Saccharomyces cerevisiae S288C: one gene and its partners. The protein of the gene in region 3 binds, or shares a complex with, the protein of the main gene of each other region. Each region holds a gene or a part of one and is shown on either strand. Other genes may lie near its edges.

Region 1 (2,639 bases), on a different chromosome or scaffold from region 3:
GTGAATTGGCCAGAAGGGCTGTTGAAAGATTTAACGGCTCTCCAATCGATGGAGGCAGATCAAGATTGAGACTTAACCTAATCGTTGATCCAAACCAACGCCCAGTCAAAAGTTTAGCCGACAGGATCAAGGCTATGCCACAAAAAGGCGGAAACGCTCCAAGACCAGTAAAGAGGGGTCCAAATAGAAAAGCTGCTATGGCAAAATCCCAAAACAAACCAAAGAGAGAAAAGCCTGCTAAGAAAAGTCTTGAAGATCTGGACAAGGAAATGGCGGACTATTTCGAAAAGAAATAATTAATTGTCAATTTTTTGTTTGATTTAATTTGGTTTTATTAAATTTAATTTTTCCGAGTTTCATTATGTATTAGTTTCCAGAAAATTTAAAGGATTAAAAAATGTATTAATAAAACTTTGATATGTTTATGTAATAATATTTACCACCGCCACTAGGTGACGCTAACCTACTCATCGGTGACGGCTTTTCTCACTTTTAAAGTTTATTCGGCATATTTGACTCATAATATGTCACTATTTACAGTGCGATGAATATATATATACATAATACTGCATTGAAAAAATGGATAGGTTGATTAAACGTGTGTTACTCGTTTCTCCTCCTATCTAAAAAACCTAATTTGTCACCTCTTTTTCTTGTTACAGCACTAAGCCCGCTACCTTCATATTTACTCTTTCTTACTAATTGATGGTCCTCAGAGCAATCAATGTTGTCTCCTCCATCTTTAGGTATGGGGAACCCTGGTTTGACTTGAGCAAGGTTATCATAATAGTTTTTTTCATTCACTTCACCATTGTTTCCCCGCGCCTTTGGTATAAATTTAGCATCTCTTCTAGCTTTCACTATGGTCTTGACCACATAAATAGACGCAATCCCGGCTGCAGAAATGTATAGTAAATTCTTACTGTTGAAATCGCATTGGTAGTGTTTTCCTACTTTCGTCTTCACTTTGGTTATATATATGGTGCAATCAAACTCTGCTTCAAGGGATAGGCCAATAAGGAAATAACCAAAAAAGAAGTCCGGGAAATAGAAAAAGATATCCAATGTTAGTTTAGGCTTTACGAATAGATGTTTCCCTATTTCTTTTACACATACCCTATATTTTGAAATGGATTTGACATTGTATACTTAGTACGGCTCAAAGAATGAAATATTACTATATTTATCTCTTCATCTGCCTTGATTTTTTTATATGCAAGCAGGACGCTCGGGTTTGTAAGGAGGAAGATTGAAAAGGATGTCTTCAACTAAAAGGCGAAGAAGGAAGCGACACATTTGTGATGCTTTGAGGTCAGTAATGTAATATATATATATATATATATATATATATATTATATAGTGTAACTGCTCTTATTTATCTTGTCTATTCGAACCCAACAAAAAAGGCTGCAGTGGGAATCTGTTCATGTGGCTGTATCACAACCAAGGGCTACCGTTTAAGAATACTGGAGAGCTCTTGTCGTCTCTAATTTTATGATCACGTGCCCATTCTAGTCATTACGCAGGTAATGCGAAAATTACAGTATGGATCGTGTAAAGTTACCAAGCAGAAAAATTGTAATAATTTTCTTTTTCCAAATTTTCTCGGTATCTGAAATTTTTCATTTAAGAGATGATATTTGGACTTACTCTAAACTATTACTTTACGTATCTTTGATTTAACTTCCAGTTACAGATCGTTAAGGAATAGTCCGCGAATTTATTACCGCTTAAACTGATTATTTCAAATATAGAAAGTAATATCTATTAATCAACAACAGAAATGAAATACTTAGCTGCTTACTTATTATTGGTTCAAGGTGGTAACGCTGCCCCATCCGCCGCTGACATCAAGGCCGTCGTCGAATCTGTCGGTGCTGAAGTCGATGAAGCCAGAATCAACGAATTGTTGTCCTCTTTGGAAGGTAAGGGCTCTTTGGAAGAAATCATCGCTGAAGGTCAAAAGAAGTTCGCTACTGTTCCAACTGGTGGTGCTTCTTCTGCTGCTGCCGGTGCTGCCGGTGCTGCTGCCGGTGGTGATGCTGCTGAAGAAGAAAAGGAAGAAGAAGCTAAGGAAGAATCTGATGATGACATGGGTTTTGGTTTATTCGATTAAGGAATTTAATTAATAAACAATTTTCTTGTTTTCCTTCATTTTACAAAATCTGGTGTAAATCCTCGATTCCATTGTGATTTAAAAATAATTAATTACTGTATAAGATTCTATATAGACAATTAATTGAAAATAGTATTACTTCTTTAACTCGCTTAGGATTTTTTTTATTTTTTCTCTCTTTTCCGGAGAATTGCCAAATGTTTTCACGGCCTCTTCCAATAATAGCTTCATTTCTTCCAACGCAACTACTAGTTTCCCATTGTAAGTGGCGAAGTACTCGCTGATATCATCATCTTCAGAAGCTTCTTTAATGGAAGTTGTTAAAGAATTTATAGAATTTGTTTGGCTCAGAATATCTGATAATTTACTTTCGCCTATTTGGAGAGCCTGACATTTCAGTATTAAATCTTTCCTTAAATTACTATACTCGCTTAGAACTTTGAGATCATTTTCCACTTCAACTTCCTCTTCGTCTGCTACTTCCATCTGCGGCAGCTTCAACACATCTTCAATTAATCTCTCT
Region 2 (2,760 bases), on a different chromosome or scaffold from region 3:
ATAGAAACTTCCAAATCCTTCACATAATAGGTCCAGTTTGGTCCGGAGAGTTTAGCATAAGCTTGTATTTCCGTCGCCATGTTCTTGTCGTTGGAATATTGTAATGATACGGTAGTTGGCTGATCTGGGGCTGTCAGTGAAGAGATGATGGCATTTATTACACCTTGATGATGCTGAGCGGTATATTTTGTGCTGCCATAATTTGTTTGAGTCATATTTAGTTCGTTCATCTCGTTAAAATTGCTGCTGGACATTTCTTGCGCATTGATAAAGTTTCAATAAAGGAAACGGAGGGAGCACACCAATATTTATGTGTATCGTACTGTTTTTTTTTTTTTTTTCTAGCAATGATCACTTATGCGAGGGAATCGGGAAGATTGGCTTTGAAGTGTTTTTAGCCTTTTGTTCCTTAGTATGATCTTGATTATTGAGCGGTTCAATTCAGTGGAAAAGGACTGCTCTATAGTGTTTTAAGTTTTACAGAAATATAGTGATCCTATGAATGTCACTTTTTTGTTTACCTTTAGAAATGCGGAACCATTGGCATTTTTTTTCTTTATTTACTAATTTACCTAGAAAATCCAAATGGCACAGGGCGAGCGAATTTTTTTTCCCTCTTTTAATGAGCGAAATCGAAGATTTTCGGTAATGTTGTGCGAAGGGTTCTGGGGCGGGGTCCGGCATAAGTCATCATCAATGCTAAGGGAACGATTATATGGCACAGAAAGAGACAGGAAGAAGAGGCCATCAAAATGTTGCAGCTTAAGGGATAAGCATAAAGCGTAATCAATAAAAAACAGCCTGTACCCAACAGGCAGCAAATTTTTGAAAGCCTGTTGCAAGATACATATGACACAAATTATTAAAATATGTTGAATTAATATTCAGTTCTTACAGTTGACATGATCCGACTCAAATGTTAATGTTCTTGAGGTTCTATAGTTTCAAAATAGCTTTTTACTTTCTGCTATTGGACCCTTTTGGACCAGCCGAAGGAAGTTTTTTTTCTTTATGTTTAGCTCTTTTTTCATCACTTCTAATTCGCAAATAGAAGGGGAAGGAGGACAGCAATTATGTAAAAATTAATTAGTATGTCAGTAACAAAAAGAAGAGATAACAGAGGTAGTTCCTCTAGACATTTTTAAGACGACTATTGATGCCAGGCAAATTTTGGATTTACTGCTCCTCTTTTAAGAAGACAAGTGTGTGATATCGTAGCGGTAGGAACCAATTTTGCAATCGATTTACTTACAGCCAAGAAAATCTATTTTCATGTTTAGCATTGCCATTTCTTCTGTGTCACACGTTGTGCTTGCCAGGAACTATAGGAGAGACGTATACAAGCATCAATGTTACGAATGTACGATCCCGTTTGCATCTGATGTGTAAACTCATGTGGTGCACTGGTGTTGTTTCCAAGACTGCACTATTAACTGGGAATTTTTTTTTTTCTTCTAGTGAATTTTTTTTTAAAGCGACGCACAGGAAAAGTGAAAATTATTTAAACGGACGGCAAACATGAAAAAAAAAATTACCAACCATATTTCTATTTCCTTTCCCTTTACCTATTCTCTTTTTGAAATAGTTCATTTTCTCTCTCTGAAACGACAATAAACCAAACTCTAGCCTCCAATAGTCACTAAAGATGAAGTACATTCAAACCGAACAACAAATTGAAATCCCAGAAGGTGTTACTGTCAGCATTAAGTCCAGAATCGTCAAGGTTGTCGGTCCAAGAGGTACTTTGACCAAGAACTTGAAGCATATTGATGTTACCTTCACCAAGGTCAACAACCAATTGATCAAGGTTGCTGTTCACAACGGTGACAGAAAGCACGTTGCCGCTTTGAGAACCGTTAAATCTTTGGTTGACAACATGATCACTGGTGTCACCAAGGGTTACAAGTACAAGATGAGATACGTCTACGCGCATTTCCCAATCAACGTCAACATTGTTGAAAAGGATGGTGCTAAATTCATTGAAGTCAGAAACTTTTTGGGTGACAAGAAGATCAGAAACGTCCCAGTTAGAGATGGTGTTACTATCGAATTCTCTACTAACGTAAAGGACGAAATCGTCTTATCTGGTAACTCTGTTGAAGACGTTTCCCAAAATGCCGCTGACTTGCAACAAATCTGTCGTGTTAGAAACAAGGATATCCGTAAGTTTTTGGATGGTATCTACGTTTCCCACAAGGGTTTCATTGTCGAAGACATGTAAATGGAACAAAAAAGTGTCTTTGCGCTTAGAGGCGCTTAAATATGTACATTATTCCTACTTTTTTATTTAGTATTATGTAAAGACTGAGGTTCTTTGTCATTGGATGTGCCTCACTTCCAATGATGAATTGACAGGCTCTCTAGGGAATGCTGTCAAGGGGAAACGTTGCTAGTGCTCATTGAAATAAAGAGCCACTTTACGTTTTCTCAAATTGCTTTTGTTTTTTCTTCTATTGATGCTAATTGCATATTTTTTGGTAAAGGAAAGAAACACTAAAAAATAAATATTCTCTAATACGTTACAAATGATTTTCTTTTTTCTTGAGTCTTGCAATCATACCCGTAGCTTTCTCTTGTTCTTCGGCTATTGCTTTAAATCAAAATGATATCTGGGTGTACCAGCAAGTTTCGAAATGAAAACATAAAAATATGGTTACCCGACATATATGCTGGTTTAATACTGGTTAAACTGAACAGAAGCATCTCTTTTCTCTATTAGGACGTAAACGACAACGTTTTTTTTTATAGGAAAAGTAAACA
Region 3 (3,138 bases):
TCTTCACTCTGACTCGTTGATTTTGAAAGAGGTTCGGGTCCTCATAAATATTTGAGAATATGAAATTCCATAATAGTATACCTTCATTGAGTAGCACGACAACAGCCTGAATTACTATCCATATTATGAATATCTTTATTTACACTGAACTCCCGACACTTCAGTTAAACAGGGATACATTAGAGATCAAGGTGATCTAATAGGGAACATCTCTCTCGTAACAATGGGACAGTATTTTATTTTCCAAGGCGGATACCTAATTATGCGTTTTTAATCATATCTCTACAATATTTATGAGCACTTACTTGGGCCCTTGCAGACTTTTGTTCCGGGAAAACTTTTGACTAACAAGAATCCAATTTTACTTTTTTTTTTTTAGGAGCTCCAAGAACTTACTCTAAGACTTACTCTACACCAAAGAGACCTTACGAATCTTCTCGTTTGGACGCAGAATTGAAGTTGGCCGGTGAATTCGGTTTGAAGAACAAGAGAGAAATTTACAGAATTTCTTTCCAATTGTCTAAAATTCGTCGTGCTGCCAGAGACTTGTTAACTAGAGACGAAAAGGACCCAAAGAGATTGTTCGAAGGTAATGCCTTGATCAGAAGATTGGTTAGAGTTGGTGTCTTGTCCGAAGACAAGAAGAAGTTGGATTATGTTTTGGCTTTGAAGGTTGAAGATTTCTTGGAAAGAAGATTGCAAACTCAAGTCTACAAGTTGGGTTTGGCCAAGTCTGTCCACCACGCCAGAGTTTTAATCACTCAAAGACACATTGCTGTTGGTAAGCAAATCGTCAACATCCCATCTTTCATGGTCAGATTGGACTCTGAAAAGCACATTGACTTCGCTCCAACTTCTCCATTCGGTGGTGCTAGACCAGGTAGAGTTGCTAGAAGAAACGCTGCTAGAAAGGCTGAAGCTTCCGGTGAAGCTGCTGAAGAAGCCGAAGACGAAGAATAAATAATTCGCTGATTTCATAACTGTATAATAAATTTTATAACTTTTCAAATCACGGATCATTTTTCATTTTACTTTGTCATTTTTATTTCATTTGAAAATGGGTAGAGGTACATAACTGGCGCTTTTCTTGCAAGATGACATGGCATTGGATGACACAAGTATTACTCAATACCCAACGTAAATAGCTAGAAGATTTTGATCGGATTTAAATTCCCAACTGCAACTCAGTAGCGTTTAGGATTTTACACCTTGGCTTGGAGAAATCCTTATTGTCAGAAATTGAAGCCGTTAATATTTAAAGGCTAATTCTCCATGCCATCTTGCATTCACTTTGGTATATATCTCTTGACCTCAATATATCTCGATAATATAAATCGCAATATTATACTTGTTAGTCTGACAGTTTTACACCTGTACATCTTCACCATCACCACACCCTTTTTTACTGGAGGCAAGGATGAGTTTGAATATCGCCTTTTTCCCAGCCGCTAGAACATGCTCAGAACCGAGGAAAAGCACCGCTGCCAAACCTCCTTTGATGTGTTGGCCCACCGCTACTAGTGGCCGTGCTGGAAGCCCAGGCAGCGGTGGGGGCCACAATACGAGAGCTGGAAAGGTAAACGGTCTCTGCGCCTCTGTGAAATTTTATCACCAATGGAGTGTCATGTCTGGTAAAGATAATATAGAAAGTAGTGTGCAATTTCAGGCATTACCGATTGAACTTTGGAATAAGAGAACCAAGACAAAAATAACTAGCAACAATGGGTAAATCGTATGTCATTTAATCCTATGAATCTACAGCACGAACGAATCATGGTATCTCAAACCGAACATATCGTCACAGAAATAAAAAGATTTAAAGACGTGTCTAGTGTGAATAAAGCAAACATATCATTAGAGCAAAATATTGGGCAGATAAGATGATGCTACACTGATTCTGAGAAAATTACGTGACATGATAGGCTTTTAACGGGCTGTAAGTCATTAGTTTACAGTCGTTGCTTTGAAAATTAGTTCAACATTAGAAGTGTAGTAATTACAAGCCCTTTTTCCAAACATTCGGTTATGTGCTGGGACGCATCTCAGAAACTCGCAAAACAATAGAATACTAACATGATTTCTTATAAATCTTAATTTTGATTTATTTCCTTATAATACAGACACGGTTACAGATCTCGTACTCGTTACATGTTCCAACGTGACTTCAGAAAGCATGGTGCCGTCCATCTTTCTACTTACTTGAAGGTCTACAAGGTTGGTGACATTGTCGACATCAAAGCCAATGGTTCTATCCAAAAGGGTATGCCACACAAGTTTTACCAAGGTAAGACCGGTGTTGTCTACAACGTTACTAAGTCTTCTGTTGGTGTTATCATCAACAAGATGGTCGGTAACAGATATCTAGAAAAAAGATTAAACTTAAGAGTTGAACACATCAAGCACTCCAAGTGTAGACAAGAATTTTTGGAAAGAGTTAAGGCCAATGCTGCTAAGCGTGCTGAAGCTAAGGCTCAAGGTGTTGCTGTTCAATTGAAGAGACAACCAGCTCAACCAAGAGAATCCCGTATCGTTTCTACTGAAGGTAACGTTCCTCAAACTTTGGCCCCAGTTCCATACGAAACTTTCATCTAATTTACCCGATGCTGGTTTTGTATCGAAAAAGATTTTCAGGTTTTAGGTTTTATTTTTTGTCTATTTTTAAATATATAATATAATAAAAAATAAATTGTGTCTAATATCCATAATTTGTACATTTAGATTATTTCTTTTGGTTCTTTATTCTGACCTATATAGACTACTCAACACAGTCACTTCATGTCATCCAGATATTACTTGCGTTGAGCATCTCTTTTGAATCCTCGCTTCGGGCTCTCTCTTAGTGAAAAATTAACCTTACGCCAAAATCCAAGAAGTAAAATTAAAAAGAATAATGGTAAAAGTCTAACTTCACATAGAGAATTCAACTTTGTATAAAGGGGTAGCCTTGTTCTCTATAGAAACTGTTCTTTGAAGTACTGCTAACTGAGGTAAAAAAATCGGACGATTTTGTCTTTACGTGGTCCTATATTTATTGTGTCAAAGTCACCTACTTACTTACATAGTTGACCATTCTCATATCCCATAATTTTTCAAGGAGATAAAGATGCCTAAAAAATCCATTGAAGAATGGGAAGAGGA
Region 4 (3,124 bases), on a different chromosome or scaffold from region 3:
TGATCTTTTGAACATTTATAAAACCGTTGACAAGATCGGTGTAAATAGAGTCGGTATTGCCGACACAGTTGGATGTGCCAACCCAAGACAAGTATATGAACTGATCAGAACTTTGAAGAGTGTTGTCTCATGTGACATCGAATGCCATTTCCACAATGATACCGGTTGTGCCATTGCAAACGCCTACACTGCTTTGGAAGGTGGTGCCAGATTGATTGACGTCAGTGTACTGGGTATTGGTGAAAGAAACGGTATCACTCCTCTAGGTGGGCTCATGGCAAGAATGATTGTTGCCGCACCAGACTATGTCAGATCTAAATACAAGCTGCACAAGATCAGAGACATCGAAAACCTGGTCGCTGATGCTGTGGAAGTTAACATTCCATTCAACAACCCTATCACCGGGTTCTGTGCATTCACACATAAAGCAGGTATCCATGCCAAGGCCATTTTGGCTAACCCATCTACCTACGAAATCTTGGACCCTCACGATTTCGGTATGAAGAGATATATCCACTTCGCCAACAGACTAACTGGTTGGAATGCAATCAAATCAAGAGTCGACCAATTGAACTTGAATTTGACGGATGATCAAATCAAGGAAGTTACTGCTAAGATTAAGAAGCTGGGTGATGTCAGACCGCTAAATATTGATGATGTAGACTCCATTATCAAGGACTTCCATGCAGAATTGAGCACCCCACTTTTAAAACCAGTAAATAAGGGTACAGATGACGACAATATCGATATTTCCAATGGGCATGTTTCTAAAAAGGCAAAGGTCACCAAATAGTTTCATTATATATATAGTACACATATTTCAAACATACACATACTGGGCGTTATTAGGTGTTTAAGTACTGGCGATTACCGTAATAAAATTACTATTTACGTCAACTTTATTCAATAAGCTTTTTCTCCTACTCCGATGTTCAATTGAGGCGGTTGCATCTAGCTTGAAGACGGGGTATTTTAATCAATTAATTGAGATCAATGAATATTGACTCTGTGCGATTCCCCACGCTATTATACTCTCACGGAGTATTTCCGTTATGATAATGATCACTATATACGTCAAATGATCGGTTTCTATTTGCTAACTATTTCAAGCATCATTATTATCTTTTAGGGGGCGGCTGGGGAATTATTTATTATATTTAGTTCAGTCGTTCATAAGAAAATTGAGCTCTCCATTGTAGATATTAAGAAGCACTTTCACCCAGTCATCCAACCAAACACGCTATCAATATGTTAAACCGTTGCATTTCCCGTAATACCAGGCTGCCAGTAAACCTAAGAATTGCCTCTCGCTTTTATTCAGATGGTCCTCTCGGTGGTGCCGGACCTGGTAATCCTCAAGATATCTTTATCAAGAGAGAACGTGCCAAAGAGGATTATTATGCCAGACAACAAGAGAGGGAACAATTAGCACATGTGAAGGAACAACTAAAAGAACACAAGAAAAAATTAGAGAATTTAGAAAACAAAATTAATAACCTTTCAAAGTGATTGGTCATTGTTAAGGCTAAAGGTTCTGCAGACACGTTTTGTACGTAGAAAGAAGCAATCATGCCAAATCAAAATTAGGAAATGAACATCAGTGGTATTTTATAAGCCTGCACATTATATATAGTATATACGTCACGAATACAGGAACACCGTCAGTTAGAGAAACGTCGCCTCAGTTTGCTCCTCAGATATTCCTTTAAACCCATACATATCTTACACAAAACATCCGTACATCAGAAGGATTATATGAAACGCAAAAAAAAATAAAATTTTCATTTCTGCGTGTCGCGCGAAGGAGAAATCTTAGAATTGAAACTTCCGGCTAACGGTTGCTAAAACTAGTTTCCAATGTAATACCAAATAAGCATTTGATGTTGAATCTGTAAGCCCCTTCGTGATATTTCAAGGTTAAATTACGAATTGCAGTTTCAGTTAATCTTGGACTAACAAAGAAATCAAACAACTAAGAAGAAAATGTCTGACTCTATTATTTCCTTTGCTGCTTTCATCCTAGCTGATGCTGGTTTGGAAATCACCTCTGACAACTTATTGACTATCACCAAGGCCGCTGGTGCTAATGTCGACAACGTATGTACAAAAATGCAACCTAAAACGACTTTGTGTGACTACGAAGAGAAAGATTAGACAACAATCGTCCCGAGAAATGCGCAATTTTGAATAATGGGGGACAGAAAAATTCCATGTAACGTTTCCCTCTAACATGATGAGATACTAGGGGGCAATACATGTAGAAATATTTCTCCATTAACGTATTTAACGGAAAGCACAAGTCAGGATCGAATTACTTCTTCAAGGATCTCATTTTACTAACAAACTCAACGAATAACGACTCTTCCTATGGAGCTTGTTATATGTATCATTGAATTAGGTCTGGGCTGATGTTTACGCTAAGGCTTTGGAAGGTAAGGACTTGAAGGAAATCCTATCTGGTTTCCATAACGCTGGCCCTGTTGCTGGTGCTGGTGCTGCTTCTGGCGCTGCCGCTGCTGGTGGTGACGCTGCTGCTGAAGAAGAAAAAGAAGAAGAAGCTGCTGAAGAATCTGACGACGACATGGGTTTCGGTTTATTCGACTAAACATACAAGGAAAGTCATTTTTTCTGCAACGTTTTTTTACCCTTTATGTATATATATTTACATATAAAATAAACCTCTAATCAATCAGTATTTAAAAATCGGAAGTAATGTCCATACGAAAGGGCTACGAGAATTTAACCATCTCGTTCTTTGCTAGAAATGGCACTGCGGGATAGCCCCTGGTTGCGGGATATCAGACCTGTCGTCACCATAGCAACCAAAAATTACATAAACCCATGGTTGCTCGCCCTTTGATGGCGACGCCGACCGAAGCTTCTCCCGCGCACATTTTTAAAATTTTTACTCATCGGGAATGAAAGGTTCTTTGACACATGTAAAGCTCCCTAAGTTGGACATACGTCGGTCCTTACAGGCTTAGCAATACACCTATAAGGCACTAGAAACGTATAAAATTTGAGCACTTTAGTTTCTCATCCCTTTTGATACGAAACGCGGGCAAGGCTACGGCATACAGGAATTTAACATTTTGTTGGCTATGGAGCTAAGAAGTAGACGGAG

Evidence for each region.
Region 1: RPL21A (region 3) and RPP2B share a complex: the UniProt entries of both Saccharomyces cerevisiae proteins name them as parts of the large ribosomal subunit.
Region 2: RPL21A (region 3) and RPL9B share a complex: the UniProt entries of both Saccharomyces cerevisiae proteins name them as parts of the large ribosomal subunit.
Region 4: RPL21A (region 3) and RPP1B share a complex: the UniProt entries of both Saccharomyces cerevisiae proteins name them as parts of the large ribosomal subunit.

Annotation. Positions count from the first base shown.
Region 1 is NC_001136.10:1,237,709-1,240,347, forward strand, and holds RPP2B (ribosomal protein P2 RPP2B), read left to right. Parts: upstream 1-1,783; coding exon 1,784-2,116; downstream 2,117-2,639. Other genes in the region: RNA-binding protein YRA1, read left to right, coding at 1-296; COI1 (Coi1p), read right to left, coding at 604-922, 1,117-1,142; NKP1 (Nkp1p), read right to left, coding at 2,252-2,639. UniProt on the Saccharomyces cerevisiae protein: Component of the ribosome, a large ribonucleoprotein complex responsible for the synthesis of proteins in the cell.
Region 2 is NC_001146.8:498,036-500,795, forward strand, and holds RPL9B (60S ribosomal protein uL6 RPL9B), read left to right. Parts: upstream 1-1,645; coding exon 1,646-2,221; downstream 2,222-2,760. Other genes in the region: forkhead family transcription factor FKH2, read right to left, coding at 1-254; YNL067W-B (uncharacterized protein), read left to right, coding at 1,382-1,522. UniProt on the Saccharomyces cerevisiae protein: Component of the ribosome, a large ribonucleoprotein complex responsible for the synthesis of proteins in the cell.
Region 3 is NC_001134.8:604,549-607,686, forward strand, and holds RPL21A (60S ribosomal protein eL21 RPL21A), read left to right. Parts: upstream 1-1,721; coding exon 1,722-1,732; intron 1,733-2,120; coding exon 2,121-2,592; downstream 2,593-3,138. Other genes in the region: 40S ribosomal protein uS4 RPS9B, read left to right, coding at 380-960; RIM2 (Rim2p), read left to right, coding at 3,104-3,138. UniProt on the Saccharomyces cerevisiae protein: Component of the ribosome, a large ribonucleoprotein complex responsible for the synthesis of proteins in the cell.
Region 4 is NC_001136.10:227,923-231,046, forward strand, and holds RPP1B (ribosomal protein P1 RPP1B), read left to right. Parts: upstream 1-1,983; coding exon 1,984-2,097; intron 2,098-2,398; coding exon 2,399-2,605; downstream 2,606-3,124. Other genes in the region: homocitrate synthase LYS21, read left to right, coding at 1-793; STF1 (ATPase-binding protein), read left to right, coding at 1,249-1,509; YDL129W (uncharacterized protein), read left to right, coding at 3,102-3,124. UniProt on the Saccharomyces cerevisiae protein: Component of the ribosome, a large ribonucleoprotein complex responsible for the synthesis of proteins in the cell.